3 linked regions of the Macaca fascicularis genome follow. Each later gene encodes a partner of the first gene's protein in a complex. Links are inferred from orthologs where the notes say so. Each region holds a gene or a part of one and is shown in the gene's direction. Other genes may lie near its edges.

The links.
Region 2: RBMX2 (region 1) and CRIPT share a complex: the UniProt entries of both Homo sapiens proteins name them as parts of the minor spliceosome. The link is inferred for Macaca fascicularis from reciprocal best matches to the Homo sapiens genes RBMX2 and CRIPT.
Region 3: RBMX2 (region 1) and SF3B2 share a complex: the UniProt entries of both Homo sapiens proteins name them as parts of the minor spliceosome. The link is inferred for Macaca fascicularis from reciprocal best matches to the Homo sapiens genes RBMX2 and SF3B2.

The regions. Positions count from the first base shown.
Region 1 is NC_088395.1:136,675,040-136,681,951, forward strand, and holds the start of RBMX2 (RNA-binding motif protein, X-linked 2), read left to right. Parts: upstream 1-2,922; 5' UTR 2,923-2,986; coding exon 2,987-2,991; intron 2,992-3,202; coding exon 3,203-3,318; intron 3,319-4,769; coding exon 4,770-4,821; intron 4,822-6,912. UniProt on the Homo sapiens protein: Involved in pre-mRNA splicing as component of the activated spliceosome. As a component of the minor spliceosome, involved in the splicing of U12-type introns in pre-mRNAs.
Region 2 is NC_088387.1:75,422,991-75,429,913, reverse strand, and holds the start of CRIPT (cysteine-rich PDZ-binding protein), read left to right. Parts: upstream 1-2,154; 5' UTR 2,155-2,241; coding exon 2,242-2,257; intron 2,258-3,724; coding exon 3,725-3,790; intron 3,791-4,583; coding exon 4,584-4,638; intron 4,639-6,923. Other genes in the region: PIGF (phosphatidylinositol-glycan biosynthesis class F protein), read right to left, coding at 1-68. UniProt on the Homo sapiens protein: As a component of the minor spliceosome, involved in the splicing of U12-type introns in pre-mRNAs. Involved in the cytoskeletal anchoring of DLG4 in excitatory synapses.
Region 3 is NC_088388.1:8,337,618-8,344,540, reverse strand, and holds the start of SF3B2 (splicing factor 3B subunit 2), read left to right. Parts: upstream 1-3,149; 5' UTR 3,150-3,179; coding exon 3,180-3,312; intron 3,313-3,467; coding exon 3,468-3,514; intron 3,515-3,821; coding exon 3,822-3,899; intron 3,900-3,938; exon of another isoform or gene 3,939-4,021; intron 4,022-5,965; coding exon 5,966-6,205; intron 6,206-6,425; coding exon 6,426-6,476; intron 6,477-6,923. UniProt on the Homo sapiens protein: Component of the 17S U2 SnRNP complex of the spliceosome, a large ribonucleoprotein complex that removes introns from transcribed pre-mRNAs.

The DNA.
Region 1 (6,912 bases):
GGTGGCCCAGGGGTCTAAGGCTCTCTCAGAAGAGGTGCCAAGGTGGGATGATGAAAGGGGCCTCTGAGGGAATGGATAGAAGTGGAGCCTGGCTTAAGTTGAGCCTTTAAGTGGAGAACAGTGACAGAAGAGAATGGAGAATAGGGGCTGGAGCAGCTAGAAGAGTACTGAAAGAGCCAGGAGGCATGTGCTAATGACTCAGGACTGTGACTGGAAGTGACACATTTTATAGATACTGCAATAGTACAATTGTTAGGACTTGGTGAGTGGATGCATATGTTGAGGTGAAGAACAGGGAAGACTGAAATATGAAACCCATGTTTTTGAGCCTGGGCAACCAGGAAAATGGTGATAACATTGTCCAAAATAGGGTAGTCTGGGGGAAAAACTGTTTGGGGGTGTGGTGTGGTGGTGGGAAGTTGGGAGATGACTCTGGCTAGATAGATAGTTCAGCCTTTCCTTGAATGCAGGGACTGCCATTGACTACCTTAGCATTACCCTCCGAAGCTAGAACTAAATACTGCATAGAATATTTGCTAAATGGATGTTACTGGTGGAGATCACTTACAGCCACCTTGGATGCCAAACCCTGGTTCTACTTTCAGATGTTAAGTTCAGAGGGTCCTCTGCATCCCCACCTCTTTTCAACTCATACTTATGGATATCTCTAGGCATCACCTTACCTACCAATTCCTGTCAATTGCAAGTACATCTATGGAAAGTCTGACTTCCTTGCTTCGTTATTTACTTCAGGATCTCCTAGGGTGATCAACCATCCTGGTTTGTTCTGGGGTTGCCAATTTTAGCTCCAAAGGTCAGAAGTCTCAGAAACTTCTCAGTTCCAGGAAAACTGAAGCAATATTCAGCTCTCTCACCTTCAGAATAGCTCTGCTGAACCTACCAGCTGCATAGTAATAATAGCCTTCTCATGTTCTCAATCTAAATTGGTCTTATTCTACTCTTTTGCTCCAGCTTCTCTTGGAACACTGATGACTTATCCCCAGGTATAGTCTTAACTCTCTCATTTCACAGCCATTTGAAAGAGTCAGCAAGATAATGCTGCATGCTAGTTTATCACTCTGCAGTGGCTACTTCAACCCACAACTAAGCAACCTGAGATTCCTAGGAGCAGATAACCCCCATATGCAATCTGTCACTGTTTAGCTTTCATTGCCAAGATAATTTTACAAAGTTAATGAATAGCTAGGTTGGAATGGGGAAGGGGGAACAGACATAGAATGAATGAGGAGAAACTGTCATTGGTGGGCAGGCTCTGTTCTCCTTTTTGGCAGGACATTGGTTACATGGTGGGCCACTTGAGGGTACAGTTGGTATCGTCATCAAAATGTTTTTATGAAGGACCTAATATCTGGTGCTCTGAGATAGGCCACACAGCTCTGGACTTTTACTTTTAGAACATCATGGTCCAAGAGCAGGTACTGATGTGGACATGTGCAAAATGGATTCAAACTGTCAATATGGGTTAAATCACATATTATATGTTAATCATCTCTTCCACTGGTTTCTAGATATTTCTGGTTGAAATCTATCAGGCAAATATATCTTGTCCCCTTAATTATAATATTAGCTCCTTGAGGGCAGAGGACCCAACCTGATACTCCTGTCTACAGACCTTAGCTGCACAGGACAAATCTAGATGTTCAGTAAGGACTGATTGAATCAACCTGACCTACTGGGTGCAGGTGCTCTAGTACCTTTCTAGTTAATTTATTCATTTGAGCCTCATTTCTTCCTCTACAAAACGAGGGTGGAAATTTCTTTTACTTTCTCTTTCTTTTTTTTTTTAAAAACAAGGAGTCTCGCTCTGCTGCCCAGGCTGGAGTGCAGTGGTGCGATCTCAGCTCACTGCAACCTTTGCCTCCCAGGTTCAAGTGATTCTCCTGCCTCAGCCTCCCGAGTAGCTGGGATTACAGGCGTGTGCCACCATGCCTAGCTAATTTTTGTATTTTTAGAGGAGACAGAGTTTCACCATGTTGGCTGGGTAGGTCTTGAACTCCTGACCTCAGGTGATCCACCTGCCTTAGCCTCCCAAAGTGTTGGGATGACAGGTGTGAGCCACCACACCTGGCCCCCCCTTTTTTCCTTTATTTTAGAGACAGGTTCTGCTATGTTGCCCAGGCTGGTCTCAAACTCCTGAGTTCAAGCAATCCTCCTCCCTCAGCTTCCCAAAGTGCTGGGATTACAGGCATGAGCTGCTGCGCCCGGCCAGGAATTGTAATTTTATCTGCTTCATTGGGTTGTTGTGAGGGTGGAGAGACAATACATGTAAATTGCTTAGCACATACTCTAGTATCATACAGTACATCATCTGCTCACTTGCTAGCTATTAATTTAACAATATTAATTTCTGTCTCCTGCTCAACTAGGAGAGAGCCTATGGAAAAGAGTAAGTGCAGCGGCTCTCATGCAAATCTGTAGGTATTCAATTCAGCCTATAGAGGCACACTGGTCTGTTGCCTATGTATTGGGATAAGAACAACAGAAGATTTACCTTTTCACCTATCTTCTTCACTTTTCTGCCATGACAGGGATGCTTTGATGGGTCTGTGCGTGAGCAACTGACTAAGAGCGAAGGTCCAAGTGGGACTCTGGACTGGGAGCGAGGGCTGAGACTAAAGTCGCCACATCAGGCTGCTTATTCCGTTCATTCAGCAAATATTTATAGCTAATCTAACCAGTTTCCGATATCGTTCAAGAGCTGGGGGTCCTGCAACAGCCCAGGCTCGTGCCTTTACCCCATTTCACAGAGGAGAAAAAGCGAAAAATTAGAGAAAAACCGTTTCTACAAGAGGTAACCGCAAAGAACGCGGAAGGCTTCTAGTGCGCAGGCGCCACGCCCCGGTACGCCCCAGCTCTTCCGGCGCGAGGTCACCGACTCGACGAGCCACCGGCGCCGGGGCCGCGCATGCGCGGCGCTGCCTTTCCCGGGCGCTGATTCCTGAATGCTGAGCGCGAGCCCGCGGAGATGAAGTAAGGCGTCAGCTTCCTTTTGAGGAACGAGCAGCGGGCCGCTGAGGGTGGTCTACTGGGGCTGGGGTGGTAGAGCGTCTGCGGGGTCGAGGGGCGGGAGAGGCGCGGGGACTAGAACACCTCGTCCCCTTGTTTTGCTCTTCTTCAGCTTCGGCCGGTTAGCATTTACTTGTCTGCTTTTCTGCCTCCCCTCACCCCCGCCACCGTGAAGTCCTTTAACTAAGGTGAAGCTGATCAACGAGCTGAATGAACGAGAGGTCCAGCTTGGGGTGGCCGATAAAGTGTCCTGGCACTCCGAGTACAAGGACAGCGCCTGGATCTTCCTGGGTGAGGTGCACATCTTTCTTCCGCAGTGCTCCCAAGATTCTCCTGCTCGGTGTCCGACTATTTCAGCATTTTCACCCTTCACTCCTGCTTACATTCATTGCCCTCCTTTATATCCATCTGCTGTCTGCCCGGGAATCCGTGTTCCATCTTTTTTTTTTTTTTTTTTTTCTGCCCCATTTTTAGTTTTCCTTCCCAGCCAAATCAGTGCTCATGAGAGTTACTGTTTGCCATTTGCTGTGCTAAGGTTCAGGGACTGTTGTTATTTCTCTCTCACCCCCTGACCCGTTATTACAGCTGAGGAAATTGGGGTGCAGAGAAGTTAAGGGACTTCCTTAAGGTCACATAGCTAATAACCGCAACAGGCAGAACTATAGCTTTCTAGAACTCATGGTCTTAGCCACAGCCCCATATTGCTACCACCGCCCTCCCCCATTCCCCTTCCCTTGCAGAATTCACTTTGCTCCTCTAGCTCCTGCTTTCTGACCATGGCCACACTACCATTACTGTATTCACTTTATATCACAACCAGTAATTGTACAAGTTTGATGCTTCAAAGAGGTTATTGTAAAAACGTTGTGCTAAGCACTTTATATGCATCGTTTTATTTAACTCTTATAACAGTCTTGCGAGTTACCTGCTAATATCCCCATCTTACAGATGAGGAAAGAAACATTTGGAAGGGAAATTATTCCCTAGGAAATGCTTAACAGTGTCTTTATAACCTTTGTCTATGTGTAGGTGGGGTTAATCATGACATATGTAGACTAATTTTGTATCATAGCTGTAAATTTGTGGGTAATGAGCAGATGAATTCAACATGTTTGTGGAAGCAGAGGTTTGTGATGGAAACTATCTGCTTTGCCCATAGGATTTTGGGTGCCAGGAGGACTGAGTGATCAGTTTACTTTTGTTAGTGGTGACACTGACTTCCACTCAAAATTAGTCACTCCTTTTCCTGTTCTACTGGCACCTTACATGTACTTCTGTCATTGCATCAGACTTGATTTCTTTCTTTCTTTTTTTTTTTTTTTTTTTTGAGTTGGAGTTTCACTCTTGTTGTCCAGGCTGGAGTGCAGTGACGTGATCTCGGCTCACTACAACCTCTGCCTCCTGGGTTCAAGCGAGTCTCCTGCTTAAGCCTCCTGAGTAGCTGGGATTACAGGTGCCCGCCACCTCGCCCGGCTAATTTTTTTTGTAGTTTTAGTAGAGACGGGGTTTCGCCATGTTGACCAGGCTGGTCTCGAACTCCTGACCTCAGGTGATCCACCCGCCTTGGCCTCCCAAAGTGCTGGGATTACAGGCGTGAGCCATGGTGCCCAGCCCAGACTTGATTTCTTTAAGGGCAGGGCCTGTTGCTTACTGTTTGCACCCCTAGTGCCTGGCCTAGTGCATGGTACGTAGTAAACACTTGGTAAATGTTGGTGGAACTGAAATGTGGTTTTCTTTTCTAGGAGGGCTTCCTTATGAACTGACTGAAGGGGACATCATCTGTGTGTTCTCACAGTAAGTCCCCTTTCATTTCCTGCCTCCTGAGTCGACAGAGTACTTTTTTCTGTAATGCATTTTGTGGCATCACAAAAACCACTTATTTTCACTCTAGGCTGAATGGTGTCCCTGCATGGGGAGGGCTGGAGCTTCTGCTCTAGTCTAGATCAGTCCCAGGACATGGTTCTAGAATGTTCTCCTGTGGGAGATCCAAGAGGTTTGTTAATTTGGGAGGCCATCTTGGGGATTCTAGTCTATTTCTGTTGTTTTTCACTGAGGTTTGTTCAGCCTGGGCCTAGACTGGAACAGACTGGAACCCTCAGGAAGGTTCCATATTGGTACGCCTCCTTGGGCTCTTGCAAACTAGGGGTAACCCATGGTCACAGGGCCCTTCTGGTCCTTGCCTGTGTGGCATCATACGACTGGGGCAAACCACAGAGGAATTGGGATGAAAAACAGAAAGAAGGTTGTAGTTTGCTTTCTTTGATTCTCAATGAATGTAAGGTTAGTGAGCAAAGCCAATCTCTACCTGGAGGCTGAGAATCACAGCCTGACGAGGAACAAGAATGAATAGGAGATCTGTATATTCTTCATTCTGCTGAGGTGTTGGCAGCAGCATTTGGTGGGAGAGGGTGTTGGTGGCTCATACTGGTAGTAGCAGCTAGTAGGAGAGGGGCTGGGCAGCTGGCCTGCAACCCCAGAGGTAAACAGCACAGTTAGTCCACAGGGCCAGAGGATCTTGGCACAGGTGCAAAGGACCACTACATTTGGGTTTTGTAGGCCTTCAGAGCATAGTACTGTTTCAGAGAAGTTGGACAGCATGTACAGGTAGCAGACCATGGCAAAAGGGGCTGGCCAAGCAAACACAGGTAGCATACACTGGCAGAGGGATTGCTATGGCAGGATGGTAGGGCCATCCATGGACAGAGGGCCCTGGCTGAGTGGTTGGGCCACTTATGGGGCAGCAAGCCATGGGAAAGGAATTGGGCAATACCCGTGAGAAGAAGGCTGTGATAGAGAACCTGGGCAACCCACACGAGTGGAGGGCCCTGGCAGGGACAAAGATTGCTTCCTTCAACTTGTGGATGTTGCAAGGTTCACAGCAGGTGCAGCCTATAATTTCTACCCCTTTGTGTACTTCTACTCAGCCTTCCCTCTTGGAGCTGTTTAGTTCTACTTGCATTGAGTGATGATCAGCTAGCACGTGTGCTTGTTTGTTTATTCTAATTCTCTATTCTCTATTCTGGTTACACACGTTGCTCTCCATGAAGATTGCCGCTGATAACAGTGCCTTTCAAAAAACTGCTTTGTTGGCTGGGCATGGTGGCTCACGCCTGTAATCCTAGCACTTTGGGAGGCTGAGGTGGGCGGATCACCTGAGGTCAGGAGTTTGAGACCAGCATGGCCAACATGGGGAAACCCCATCTCTACTAAAAATACAAAAATTAGCCAGGCATGGTGGTGCGCGCCTGTAATCCCAGCTACTTGGGAAGTTAAGGCAGGAGAATTGCTTGAATCCAGGAGGTGGAGGTTCCAGTGAGCCAGGATTGCACCATTGCACTCTAGCCTGGGGGACAAAGCAAGATTCCCCCATCTCAAAAAAAAAAAAAAAGAAAAGAAAAAAAAAAAGAAATCTACTTTGTTTCTTATTTTGAAGGTAATATATAGTCATTATAGAACATTTGGCAAAATAAAGTATAAAGAAGAAAATAGAACACACTCTTAAGGAAAACCTTAATGTTTTGGCATATCTCTTTATCATTTTAAAAAAAATGCTGGATGTTATTTCCAGTGGTTTGCTATTATGAATTATACTGCAGTGTGCATTATAGTATATACATTTTTGTATGCATCCCTCATGGTCTCTTTAGTGAAAGAGGAATATGGATCAATATGTTAGCATTTTAAAGATGTTTTATAAACATTGCCAAATTGCTCTCCAAAAGGTTGTACCAATTTCCACACTCACTAGAATGCCCATTTTTCTGAATCCTGATTAACAGTGGCGATTTTAAAAAATATTTGCCAAAGGGCTTTTCATTATTACTTTGCTTTGCCTTTATTTCATCATCAGTGAGGTTGAACATCTGTTTCTAGATTTGCAGCCCA
Region 2 (6,923 bases), on another chromosome or scaffold:
CTTAGGATAATCGAAAATATGCATAAAAGATGGGTATACAGTAGTCTTTTGATATCGGTGTCTTTCATGGTGTTTTCTCGGGTGGCTAGCTAACGAAAAACAAGAAAGGAAGAGCATACGCAATAATGACTTTTTCCATTGTCTTAAATGTTTCAACCCTTAAAAATAAGTCATAAAGTCAATTTGCTATGAGCAATGTATTTGTTTCAAAACACAGAAGATGCAGAAGTGTAGATGCACATATAGACTTTTTATTCTACCTTTGATTTTCTTAATATGGTACAAACATCTCTCAGAGTCTTAAAAAAACAAATTTACTAATTTCTTAAATATTGTGACTGGTTTCTGCAAAAGGGTCATGTCCTAGGACCAATAAAACAATTCATTTAAACTTTTTTGGCCAATATCACAGAGATGAAATCAACTGTGTGGATTAAATTATCTACTGCCTGTTGGAATTATAACCAAAGTTTATTTATGAGGTTTCCAGAATGCATAAGTTATAATTCCAACAACCCCAAATATATACTTAGGCTAAATTGCTGGGGTTTTTTTACTCTTGTCTAACATTACAGTAGTTCACATCTTCTAGCAAATGCCAAATGACACCAAGTGCACACTCGAATACTCAAATGGTGGCCAGTGGAATCAAGAGTTCAAAGAGCACCACACTAAACTAAGGGATCTCGATGCTTCAGAAACACCAAGATGACAACGTCTGTTACAGGTGTTAAATTCCAACCAAAAGTAGAGCACGAATGGAAGGAGGGAAAACAAATTACTCATCTCTACAATACACGTATTTAAATTACCTGAGAGTTAATTGTACTGTTAAACAAGGACTTTATTAATTTAAAGTAACAGTCAATATGTTACACTATGGAGAATATTCCAGAAAATAGAAATATCTCAGAAAAAAATACTACACACACACACACACACACACACACACACACACACGTGGGCGCGCGCGCGCGCGGAGGGGCGCCCGCTAGTGTGAAAAGCAGAAGGGCGAACCTGGGCCTTATCCTAATAGCTCTCATTTAATTCACCCAGTGCTTTTCAAAGGCAGATATTTTACTGATAAGGAAACAAGGCAAACAGGTGAGGTGGTCCAAGGTCCCACGCGCTACAGCTCTCTCTCTGGTATAAGGAAATACACTAGGCATGAAGAAGCAAACGGATGGCAAGAAGGGACAATGGTAAACTTTCCCATAGATTCTCTTAAGCTGATTGAGGGAGGGCAAGGGGATCAGGAATCCATTCTCTCAACAGATAGCCCTTCAGCCATTTTTCTGAGCCACCCTCGGAATCGCAGCTGCCATCAGATGTGGATGTAATACAGTGAGCAGTTACCAAACTCAACCGTTTGCTGAGTGAATGAAGGAACCAGAGTAGGCAAAGTGGGAAACCAACTCTCCTGGGAAACCAGCACCGTGTTAGGCCCTGGCGTGCCCCCAGGGCGCCTGCAGGGGTGCCACGGGCATGACGCGGCCCACCTTCCCCAGGCACCGCAGCGGAGAGAAGGCTCTTCAGAGCGGCCCCCAGAGGAGCCTTCACGGGCATCGCCGCACCTCCACCGGCAGCTCCACCCCAACCCTGGTCGCTGGGAATTCTGCCCGACCCTAGGCCGGCGCGAGCGTGGGCAGCGAGGAACCAGCTGAGAAGCAGGATCAAAGAGCTCGGGAGTTGGAGACAAAGAAAAACTGGGGGACAGAGGCAAAAACTCGGATCCGAAAGGGGGTCTGTCCATCAGGGCACGCCGGAAGAGTGGCGCTCGAGCTGACGGCGAGAGCTGGCGGGCCGGGGCGCCGAGGCTCAGGGCTGCTTCGGCAATTCGCGGGGGTGACTTGCACCCCGGGAGGCGAGAGCGCCTGGGAAGTCCAGCGAGGCTTACCTAACTTTCCCGCCCGCGGAAGGGAAGCGGGGAACTACTGCCTCCCACCATCAGGTACGACAGGAGGCCCAGGCCCACGCGCAGACGCAGGGTTGTGGGGCGGACACCCACGGCCGAACAGCCAGTCGCAGAAAGGGAGGGGCGGGCAAATGGGGCAGCCCCACCTAGCCGCTCGCGTTCATTCCTCCCGCGGCTTTCCAGGTTTGGGGTAGGCGGGAGCGGTGGGCTTAGAAGCCGGAAGTGGATTGACGTAGCCCGGAAGGGGAATACTTCCCAGTTACAGTGTTGATGTTTTCAGGCTCCTGCTGCTCCTGTTGCGGCTAGGGGAACTGTCGTGGGGAAGGATGGTGTGCGAAAAATGTGAGTTAAGGGGCTGCTTCTGCGGGAGGAGGAGGCTGGGATAATCTAACTGAGCCCTCCCGGGAACTTTGCCTTCTCTTTGTTTTTTTCGCCCACAGGTCTCTGATTCTAGCCGCTGTCTTTCTACCCTACCCTTTGACCATTTTTGCACCTCCCCAACGACCATACAGTCCTATGTATTTTGTACTCAGAATGGTCTCAGTTCTGCACCTCCCTCTCTATTTCCATTGCCTTCCCCCAGCCCCAGATCTCATCGGCTCCCCTCCCATATAAAAATGTTCAGTTAAACCCCAGCGACACCTTTCCCTCTTGGCAATTCCTGTCCTTTCCTTTTTATTCGTGTAACAAGTATTGTACTCCTGCCAAATGTTAGACACTGGAACCAAAGACTTAGGACTTTGCCTTATTCATTCTCATTAGTCATTATGCCAGGATATGGCGTAGAGTAAACCCAGAGATGTTTGAATTGAACATCAACGTAAGTGCAAATTATTATTTCCCTAATTTAAATCCTTTAATAAACTCTCAGTGTGCAGAGAATAATTTGGGGATTCTATATTTGGAACCTGACGTTCAGTACCCTCCACACTAAGGCGCTAACTTATTTTTCCAGCTTCATTTTCACTGACCCTCATCCTCTTCACACTTTGACCAAACAAAATACTCTTTGTGCCCATGTGTACTCTAAGCTTTCTATGCCTTTCCTCAGAATGTGTCCTTTATCTAGTTTGCGTTCATCCTCTTTACTCCTTTTTGTTCACAGTCCTGTTGCCACATATTCAAATCCTCTCTCTTGCCTTCTCTCCAAACTTTGTTTTCTTGGATTTCCTTAGCCAGGGTTATTTTTTCCTGCCTGGAATTTCTCCTAGTACTTTAGTTCTCAATTATTATATCTTTTATTTTTTAGCTTACATTTTGGTTGAATGGTTCTTTTTGGGGAGACGGTCTGTGATCCCTCTGAGAATCTGATGAAAACTGTAGCCTCTTGCCAGGAAAAAAAACTGAAAATATAAAAGGTTTGTGTACAACTCCACCTTGTTCACATATCTCTTAAGATCCACCTGGGGAACCCAGGTTACAGATTGCTGTTAAAGAAATTAGTATACTATAATCTCATTAAAATTTTGTCTGATTCATCACTTTTTCTCAGCACTTTCTATAGTTTATACATCATAGATGCTTAGTAAATATTTATGGAACAAATAGACTTATTGGATTTTTTAAAAGTATAAACAAACAGTGAAAGCTTATTATAAGCCATCTTATTATCCTGCGAATTTTACCGACGGTCAGTCATTCATTGCCCACAGTTAATATGAGTCTCAGTTGACTGGCTGCTTTCTCAGCATTAACAGGCTCCTATGGTAATAGCATTGATAGTCGATACCATTGTGAGCCTTAGGCACAATGTAATGCACTTATGAAATAGTAAATTTTAATTTTCCTTTTACTATCTTGTTCTAACAGGTGAAAAGAAACTTGGTACTGTTATCACTCCAGATACATGGAAAGATGGTGCTAGGAATACCACAGGTATTTCTTCTTTTAGAAAATAGGAATTTAACCAAATACTTACTGTGAATTATATTTTAGCTTTTACATTATTTGTACAATGAAATGTTGTATGTTCAAAGTATTTTATCTATTAAATATTAAAGAATACTGGGTCCCCAAGTGATTTAATATCTTTTATTTAGTTCTCAGTTACTTGTATGGGTTCCCAATATCAGGAGATAGCAAAATTATTAAATGATTGTCAAGTGGTGACAATATCACAGTATTTGATTATCACAATATTTGATTTGATTCAGCTTATTTAGAGTCTGTTTTTAATTTCCCCACTCTTCTGAGGAGAAATTTTTTTAAATCTTCTGATTTTTATATTCTTGAATAAATAAATGCTTTAACCCATTTTACCTTCATTATCATTAAATCTTTATAATGAAGTATTTACCTTCATTATTATTAAATACATATAGTAAAGTATGTTTTCAAAGCGTAGACAAATAAACATTTTCATTATATTGAAGGTCTATGACACTGAAGTAGTGGCTTCTAGATTTTACACTATATAGAGTAAATATAGACCCATTCCTAAAGTACTCCCTTGAGTCTGAGAAATAAAATGATTGTATTTTATACAAATTTTTACTGTTTCCCTAATAAATGTTTTCTTTTTAAGCAGTGTCTTAATAGCCTACTAAATGAGGATTTAAAAATTAGATACAGACTACTATTTTGGTAGAAAGTCAAAGAATGAACTTCTTAATGTTTTATGTTAAATGTATAGAAATAACCCACTAAAATATCTTTTATTCTGATACAGAAAGTGGTGGGAGAAAGCTGAATGAAAATAAAGCTTTGACTTCAAAAAAAGCAAGGTGGGTAAGAGCATCCATAGACAGATCATATAAATTTCCTTTCTTTTAGTATTAAGTCTGCTGGAGTGAATTTGATGTGCATCATTCCATTTGCAATAAAACATAAAGGTAGGTGGTTCATAGCACTCAGAACCAAGCTATCTGTTACAATCCTGCTGGTTTTACCTTATTCCTCCTTGGCTGTATCAATATATGAAGATATTAGTGTTATTCTCTTACAGTTTCACCAGAAAACATGACTTGTATTTTATCTCCTTCTTAATTATCCTATGAATCAGAGACAGCAGGGAAATGTGGAAAGATGGTAAGCTTTGGAGTCAAACCTGAATTTGAGTCTAGACCCACTGTCTAGCCTTATGACCTTAAGCAAGTTAAGCAAGTTTCTTGACCTTTCTAAACTTTACTTTTTCCTGAGAATTGGGGTAAAAATGTCTCCCATCTTAAAAACAAGTTTTTGATACCATACTTTATTAGATCCAGTCTTAAAAATTCTGCTGGGTATGGTGACTCACACTTGTAATCTCAGCACTTTGGGAAGCCAAGGCAGAAAGATTACCTGAGCCCAGGAGTTTGAGACCAGCCTGGGCAACATGGTGAAACCCTGTCCTTACAAAAAATGGAAAAATCAGGTGGGTGTGGCAGCACGCGCCTGTAGTCCCAGCTACTCAGGAGGCTGACATGGGAGGATCACTTGAGCCCAGGGAGGTCGAGGCTGCACTGAGCCAGGATCGCACTACTGATCTCCAGCCTGGATGACAGAGCAAGACTCTTTCAGAAAAAAATTCCGTGAACCCTTTCATCTGCCATCCGATTTCTTTGCTCCCCTTCACATCAGAGGTTTTCCAAAGTCTTATCTAGACACTTTCTCAGTGTCCTTAAGTTCCTTTCCCTCTTTTAGCCCCTCCAGTCGTATGTTATCCCCACAAAAGCCCTGAAACTGTTCTTGTTGAGATCACAAGCGACCTTTAAAACTGATTCTGTTCTTATTTAGCCTCTTCATAATTCTCTCGCGTTTTTCTCTTGGCTCCTGGGACACCACACTCTCCTGGTTTTCCTCCCAACTCACTGGCTATTCCTTCTCAATTGAGTACTTCAGGACTCAGTCCTAGGCTTTAAAAATTATTATAAATGCATAAACTCTCCTAAAGTGACTTTAATCTACTGGCTTTAAATTCAAGCTGTATGTTTATACACACACACACACACACACACACAATATTATTATATATATATAATAGCTCCCAAATTTATACCTCTGGCCTGAGTTCTCTGAGCTCCAAACATGTATCTAGCAGCTTATCTGACATACCTCATTTATTGTCTTAACAGGCCACTTCTTTTTCCTTCCATCTTCTCATCATAGTAGCACCACTGTCTAATCCAGTTGTTCAAGCCTAAAAGCTACAATTCTTCACTGAGTCCTCCCTTTCCCCTGCTTCCCCTATCCATCAACAAGTTCTTTGGATCTACCTCCAAAATGTAAAATATAACCTGAAACCACCTGCTTCTGTCCATCTTGCTGCTATTATCCTGTTCCAAACCACTGTTATTTCTTACTTGGAACTGTAATAACTATTGAACTATCTTCCTGCTTCTCTAGTTTCCCTCAGTTGTCTCATAGTAACAAGAGCGATCCTTTACAAAGTTCCTTTGCTTAAAACCCGCCACTGGTTTTCTTTTTCACATAGCATAAAATCTAAGCCCCCTACCATATTCTTACAAGGTCCTCCTTGATAGGACCCCTCGCACCTCTCTGGCTTTGTATTGTACTACACTGCTCCTCACTCATACGCCATCCTCATTAGTTCCGCCAAGCCCACTCCCATCCAAAGAGATTTCTACTTGCTGCTGTCCCCTAGGAGTCTTCTGTTAGAGCTTATGTGTCTGGCTCCTTCTTGTTGTTTGGGTCTCAGCTGATGGGTCACTTCCTCAGAGAAGGTTCCCTAATCAGAATGTAAACTAATCTCTTCTTTCCTTTCCTCATCTCTGCCTTAGTATCCTGTTAGAATTTTCTCTATAATGCTACTATTTGACAAGCTTGCTTGTTTTATTAGATTCTCTGTTTCCTTACTTACTGTTTACCTCTTCTCACTAGAATATCATCTGATGAGGGCAAGGGCTTTGCCTATCATGTTCATCTTTGGTATTTAGAACAGTACTTGGTACTTGATAAGCACTCTATATATTTGCTGAATGAATAAATACCTGTTTTATGATGTCATCCTGAGGATTAGAAATAGCAACAATAAAGCCTTAACGACATACAGTGCGTGGCACATAATGGG
Region 3 (6,923 bases), on another chromosome or scaffold:
TTTCCAGGGGTAGAGAGCCCCCCTCCTCATGCTTTCCAGGCACTAGGCCCCCAAGATACTCTCTCGCCCGCCTCTCGGCCCCCATCCCGGTCTGGTCCACTCCCACTCCCCCAACCCCAGGCCGGCCACTGCAGTACTCACACCGCGCGCGTGGGCTCTGCCTCTCGCCCGGGCTGGGGGCGGCCGCCGCTATCTCTAGACCCTTGTCTTGAAATCCGCACGGGGTCCGAGGGTGCCCAGGGCCCTGCGCGCCGAGTGCCGGTGGCTTGCCTCTCAGCGCCTGGATGGGATCAGGTGGCGGCGTCCGCTAGGCTCGCTCCTCCCGGCTCTGCCCGCCCCCCGCCCCCCATCGCACACCGGAGGCAGGCGAGGGGCGGGGCCAGGCCGCGAGCAAGTAGGGGAGAGGGGAGAGAGGGGAGAGAGGGGAAAGAAAGCGGGAAGGGGGGTGGTCTCCCGGCTTGCCCGCTGGCTGTCGTGAACAGTCTCTGGGTGGCATCTTCAGATGCAGTTATCTTACTCTGGCAACCTTGCAGAGTTGGACACTAATGTGGCCAGCTGCCTTCTCTCACTCAGACAGGGAAACTGAGGCCAGGAAGGTGTCTGGATGCTCCTGCATTGCTGGGTATTCCGGGGCACCACCGGTCATATTTGGGCTCCTGGGTGAGCGAGACACAGGTACACTTGCAGGTACCCACATCCTCTCTATCCTCCTCCAGCAGAGAAGCAGTGCTCCAGCCTTGTCTGGTCCCATCTGTGCCCACACACCCACTTCCCTTCCAGCGTGTCCCCCATACCTTCTGATGTAGCTTCTGGCTGCTCACCCATTCTTCCTCGCTAGGACTCCAGACCCACTCACTCCTGATCAGAGCTATAGTGAGGCTGGGACCCCTGCCTAGGCACCTGCCATCAGGCATCAAAGAACCCAAGTTCAATCCTGGTTTGCTCTTAAATCCCAAAGTCAAGAGGCAACTCCCTGAGCCCTATTGCTTCCAGCTCTAAAATGGGAAGCTGTTCTGAGGTAGCAGAGATAATACACATGAAGGATTCATGTGAACTTCTTAGTCCTCAGTTCCTATCACCTGGGAGCTGGGCAGCAGCACCTCTCAAAGCCATGCCAGACACTGAGAGCCCCACACTGAGTTCTGTGGCTGACCTGCCCACCTGCTTTTTATTTTGCTCTGGGCCTGGTAAAGCAAGGATCCTGGAGCTGGGTAGTCATCCAAAGGTGGGACTGGAAGGGGCTGGATACGCCCTTCTAGGTCCACATAGGAAATAGGTAGTATTGTATGAGGGTCCTTGTTACCGTTAAGGAGGAGGAAATTGGGACTCTGAGAGTCAGAAGGACTGCTGGTGGCCCCAGTTCGGCCCCTTGGGCATGTCACCTTCTCTGCCCATCAATCCTCCACTGTGTACAAGGTCGGGGTCGGAGGAGGATCTTGATACCTTGCCTCTTTCCCAGAGCTGTCATAAAATGAGGCTCCACCATCAGCCTTTAGTTTATCCTGCCTCAGAGACCCCGCCCCCTTCCCTAGCACCTACACATCGCTTGAGGCCTTCAGCCTCAGATGACCTGCTCTGGGCTCTCCAGTTACAGGGAGCAGAAGAGCCTTCCTTTGGGCTAGAAAGGTTCTGCCTGAGTGGGCTGACAAGCTGGAGGGAAGGGCACCATTGTTCTGTCTTCCTTACTGTCCTTTCCAGGTTTGGCTTCCCCTCTGGGAGTGGCAGCAGGAGCCTGCCATAGTGATATTGATGCAAAGGGGAAAGGTCAAGGTTTGGGTAGGAGGAAGAGGACTTCCCACCCAGTGCTAGGATGTGAGCCAACCTTTCTCAACCCAATCCTTTTCCCTGTCTCTCCCAAACCTCACCTTCCCCAGACCTGGTGCCCCATTCTTTTTTCCCCTGTTCCCAGCTTCTTCTCCACGGGGGGCAGTTGGCAAAATGGAGCTGGAGAAAAGATCTGAAGGGGATGTTTGGGGGAAAATGAGACCATTTCACTGAAGTCTCCCCATTCCCGTACTCAATACACATAAAAACACACACAGTGAGCCTGGCTGTTAGTGACAGGGCAGAGCTAGTGGCAGAGGTGGGGAGAGAAATTGAATTGATGGTGTGGGACAGCGAGAGGTGGATGCTAGGCAGGCAAGAATCCCTGCCAGTATCTGCCTCTGTCCCCAAAGACCACGGGGAGTTGGGGTGGGGAGTGGGCGGCAAGGTGGGCCCCCAGTGCAGGTGCGGCTGAGGGAAAAGGGGCCTGAGTTTATTTTTGAGACTAAAAGACACAAATACTGTCACCAGAAACATTGTTCCTTTTTCCCAGTAATCATTTATTGGGCGCCTCTTGAACGGCAGGTGATGCGAGACTGAAAAAGATCAAGTCCCTGCTCACATTTTTGGGATGCAGGTAGGAAGAAAGGGCAAGAAAGACTTATCAAACGGTGGAGATTCGAATGTATTATGGGAACTCTAAGAAAGGAAAGGAAAGCGGGAGAAAGCTTAGTGAAGACGACATTTGAGCCGGCTTGGAAGGTGGAAAAGGGGGCTTTAGTGTCGCCCTTCCCCCAGGTCGGCAGCTGGAGCTCAGCCCGGGCGGGCCCGCTCCTCTCCTGGCTCGGATCCCCTTTCAGCCCATTCATCCGGGCCTGGGCCGGGGGTGGGCGGGCAGACAATCAGACACTGTTTTATCCCGGGCATTGGCTCCAGCCTCCCGCTTGGCGCCCGCAACGCGGAGCCGCCGGGGAAATGAGTCTCTCGGGACTCCCTGGGAGCGTAAGAGTCCGAGGCTCTGACCGGGGAGCCGGGCCGGAAGGCTTGACAGCCTGCGCTCCCGCAGGTGAGGCGCAGAAAACACTCCCTCCGGGCAGGGCCAGCCTTCCCCGCAGCCCCGCCCTCCGGCCCGCCGCCGGCCTTCTGGGCCGTAGCCTGGCGCAGGGCCCGCAGAGACCGAGACCTGCGCACTACAACTCCCAGGAGGCCTAGCGACCAGACGGCCGAGGGGCCACTGAAGAAAGGGGCGTCTGCGGCGAATCCCGTCGCCTAGCGTACCGCAGCGGGTGGGCCTGCGTGCGCGTCGCCTCCCAACCAGAGAGGACGTGGCGTACGGCGCCGCCGGAAGTTCCGGAAAGTGGGCCCAGAGGCCGGCCCGAGCTTCCGGGTTGGTCGCGCGCCTTGCTGCGGCCAAGATGGCGACCGAGCATCCCGAGCCTCCCAAAGCGGAATTGCAGCTGCCGCCGCCGCCACCTCCAGGCCACTATGGCGCCTGGGCTGCCCAGGAGCTTCAGGCCAAGTTGGCAGAGATCGGAGCTCCGATCCAGGGTGAGGAACACAGAAAGTCGAGGGACCTTTACGGGCCTGCGGAGAAGCGGAGCCTGGTTACCCGGGAGACCCGGGCGCGAGGGGCGGAGGCGGGCAGCTGGGGTCTGACCTGGCCGGGCTTGCCTGCTCCATTGATCGTGTACTTTGCCCCGCAGGTAATCGCGAGGAGCTGGTGGAGCGGCTGCAGACCTACACCCGCCAGGTAGGTGTTGGCGGCGGGACGTCAGGATAGGCCGAGCTTCTCCAGGAGACCTTATATACCCCATCACGGCTCGGTCTTCATTCTTTCTTTATCTTGGCACAGCAAGGCGGAGGCTTGCCCTTTTTGGCTTGTTCTTGCCTTTGCCAGCTTAGTTGTAATTTCTTGTATCCATCTTGGTCCTCTTCAGTGCCCAGCCGGAGCGCTGGCAGACAGGCACTGGATACGTTTTGTTAAATGAATTGGGAGAGATCGTCGATTAGTGAAACAGCTAGTTTTGGACTGACCTAGAGTCCTTTCTCTTTTGCAGACTGGCATCGTGCTGAATCGGCCGGTTTTGAGAGGGGAAGATGGGGACAAAGCCGCTCCACCTCCCATGTCAGCGCAGGTAGGGAGGTTCTTCCATTTTTTAAGATTCTATCTGCTGATCCTTTTGTAGTTCATGAGCATGATGATTCGGTGTTCGCGTGCATGTGTGAGACGTCACACCCTTGCACATCTCGCCTGACCTGAGTGGGGAATAGAAAGATTCCATCTGTTCAGGGTAGCCCTTCCTCTTAATTGCAGTGTACTTGAGATGCAACTGACTGACTGGGCAAGGAGGTACTGCCATGACAGAATTGTGAGCTCTTCAGTTCTCTCTTTGATGCTGATACTTGCCTCCTTTTCCACTGTCTGCTTCTCCAAATTCTACCTGTCATTCAAGATTCAGCTTGTGGCCAGGTGCAGTGGCACATGCCCGTAATCCCACCACTTTGGGATGCTTAGATGGGAGGATCACTTGAAGCCAGGGTTCGAGACCAGCCTGGGCAACACAGTGAGACTCTTGTTACTACAAAAAATTTTTAAAAATTAGCTGGGCACGGCAGCACATGCCTATAAAGTCCAAGCTACTCTCTAAGCTGAGGCTCAAGGATTGCTTGAGCCCTGAGGTTCAAGGCTGCAATGAGCTCTGGTTGCGCCACTGTACTCCATGTACTCCATCCTGGGTGACAGAATGAGACTTTACTTCTCTGAAAAAAAAAGAAAAAAAAAGGTTGGGGGGTGATGGGGCAGGGGCTGGGAGATTGTCAGGAAAAATAGCAAATGCACGCCAGAATTAATACCTAGGCAGTGGGTTGATAGGTGCAGCAAACCACCATGGCACACATTTACCAATGTAACAAACCTGCACATCCTGCACGTGTGCCCCAGAACTTACAATAAAATAAAATAAAATAAAAAAATAGGGGGAAAAAAAAGAGGCAGGGGATGGTGGCTCATGTCTGTAATCTCAGCACTTTGGGAGGCCAAGGCGGGTGAATCGCCTGTGATCAGGAGTTTGAAACCAGCCTGGCCAACATGGTGAAACTGTCTCTACTAAAAATACAAAAATTAGCTGGGCGTGGTGGCACATGTCTGTAATCCCAGCTACTTGGGAGGCTGAGGCAGGAGAATCTCTTGAACCCAGGAGGCGGAGGTTGCAGTGAGCCAGTGAGCCGAGATCAGGCCACTGCACTCCAGCCTGGGCGATAGAGCAAGACTGTCTCAAAAAAAAAAAAAAAAAAGAGAGAGAGGCAGGGCATGGTGGCTCACGCCTGTAATCCCAGCACTTTGGGAGGCCGAGGCGGGCAATCACTTGAGGTCATGAGTTCGAGACCAGCCTGGCCAACATAGTGAAACCTCGTCTTTCCTAAAAATACAAAAATTAGCCGGGCATCGTGGCAGGCGCCTGTAATCCCAGCTACTTGGGAGGCTGAAGCACGAGAATTGCTTGAACCTGGAAAGCAAAGGTTGCAGTGAGCTGAGATTGCACCATTGCGTTCCAGCCTGGGTGACAGACTCTATCTCAAAAAAAAACAAACAAACAAACAAAAAAAAACAAAAAAAAAAAAACAGCTTGAATACAAGGAAGCCCGACTTGTCCCTACCCAGCTGGAAGCAATCACCCTCTTCTTTGCCTGCCCCAGGAACAGTTCCCATGTTCTTTTGTGAGACATTGAGAGCTCCCTGATTTGATTTCATACTCCTTGCATTTAGCAGTCATTGGGGTTTGCATTGCCCTGGTACAGTGGTTCCTGTTTATTTAAGTCCTCTCAATTTCCATGTTGCTTCTGATCCAGGATTTGCTTCTTTTTCTCTAAAGCAGTGGCTCTGACCTAGGATCTATTGATCTCTGTGTGTAGAATGAGGAGTCCCTAGATGGCCTCAGAGGTGTCTTTGAGTCTCCTGGAATTGTATGCAGAGTCTGTATTCAGGATATCTTTCTGGAGAGAGTGGATAGCTTATTGTGGTTGGTGCCGGAAGTTAACATTCTCATATCTTTATAGGGCTATGGAGCATTCTCTCTTACGAATTAGGAACTATGTGTCATTTGACTTAGAATCCCAGCTCCTGACTCAAAGTAGATCCCCCAGATATGTGCAGATGAGTAGATAAATGTTTCCTAATTTTATGATCATATTTTCTCCACAGCTCCCTGGAATTCCCATGCCACCACCACCTTTGGGACTCCCCCCTTTGCAGCCTCCTCCACCTCCCCCACCACCTCCACCAGGCCTTGGCCTTGGCTTTCCTATGGCCCACCCACCAAATTTGGGGCCCCCGCCTCCTCTCCGTGTGGGTGAGCCAGTGGCACTGTCAGAGGAGGAGCGGCTGAAGTTGGCTCAGCAGCAGGCGGCATTGCTGATGCAGCAGGAGGAACGTGCCAAGCAGGTAGGGCAGGTGGAAGCCCTGGCCTGGGCCTCATTAGGTCCCTGAAGGGGCAGTGGAGCCTTAAGAGAAAGCTGGGTCCTAGAACTAAGGCTTCTGGGAAGGTGGGGACTAAATATTGGAACATGGGCCCTTGACTGGAAGAGGATCTCAAGAAGCAAGAGTTGTGGCAGATTGGCCCGTTGGGTATTGGTGCTGGTATGAACTTGTTTTCTTTTTTAAGCAGGGAGATCATTCGCTGAAGGAACATGAGCTCTTGGAGCAGCAGAAGCGGGTAATACCCCTCCCCCTAACCTTTGACCTCATGGTCCAATCCATTGGCTGTCATTTGTATTGCTTCGAATGCACCAATCAAGTTTTGTTCCCAACTAAGTACTAGTGTCTTCCAAAGCATTCAATTTTTCTTGAAGTTCAGGAATTGACAGACTATGACCTGTGGCCTGTATGTGCATGGCCTGTGAGCTAAAAACAACTTTAAAATTTTTTAAGGATTATAAGAAAACCCAAACAAAAATATGTACCAGAGTCCATATGGTAATCCATAAAGCCTAAAGTATTTACCTTCCGACCTATTCAAAAAGAGCATGCTGACTTCTGCTCGCCTTACATGACATCATTCTAGATAGGACTCTGGGTAATTGAGTTATTTGTATTGGATTTAGACAAAATAGGACTGTAAGTCTGGGAATGTTATATAAGATATTTGGCCCCAGAGGTGCGT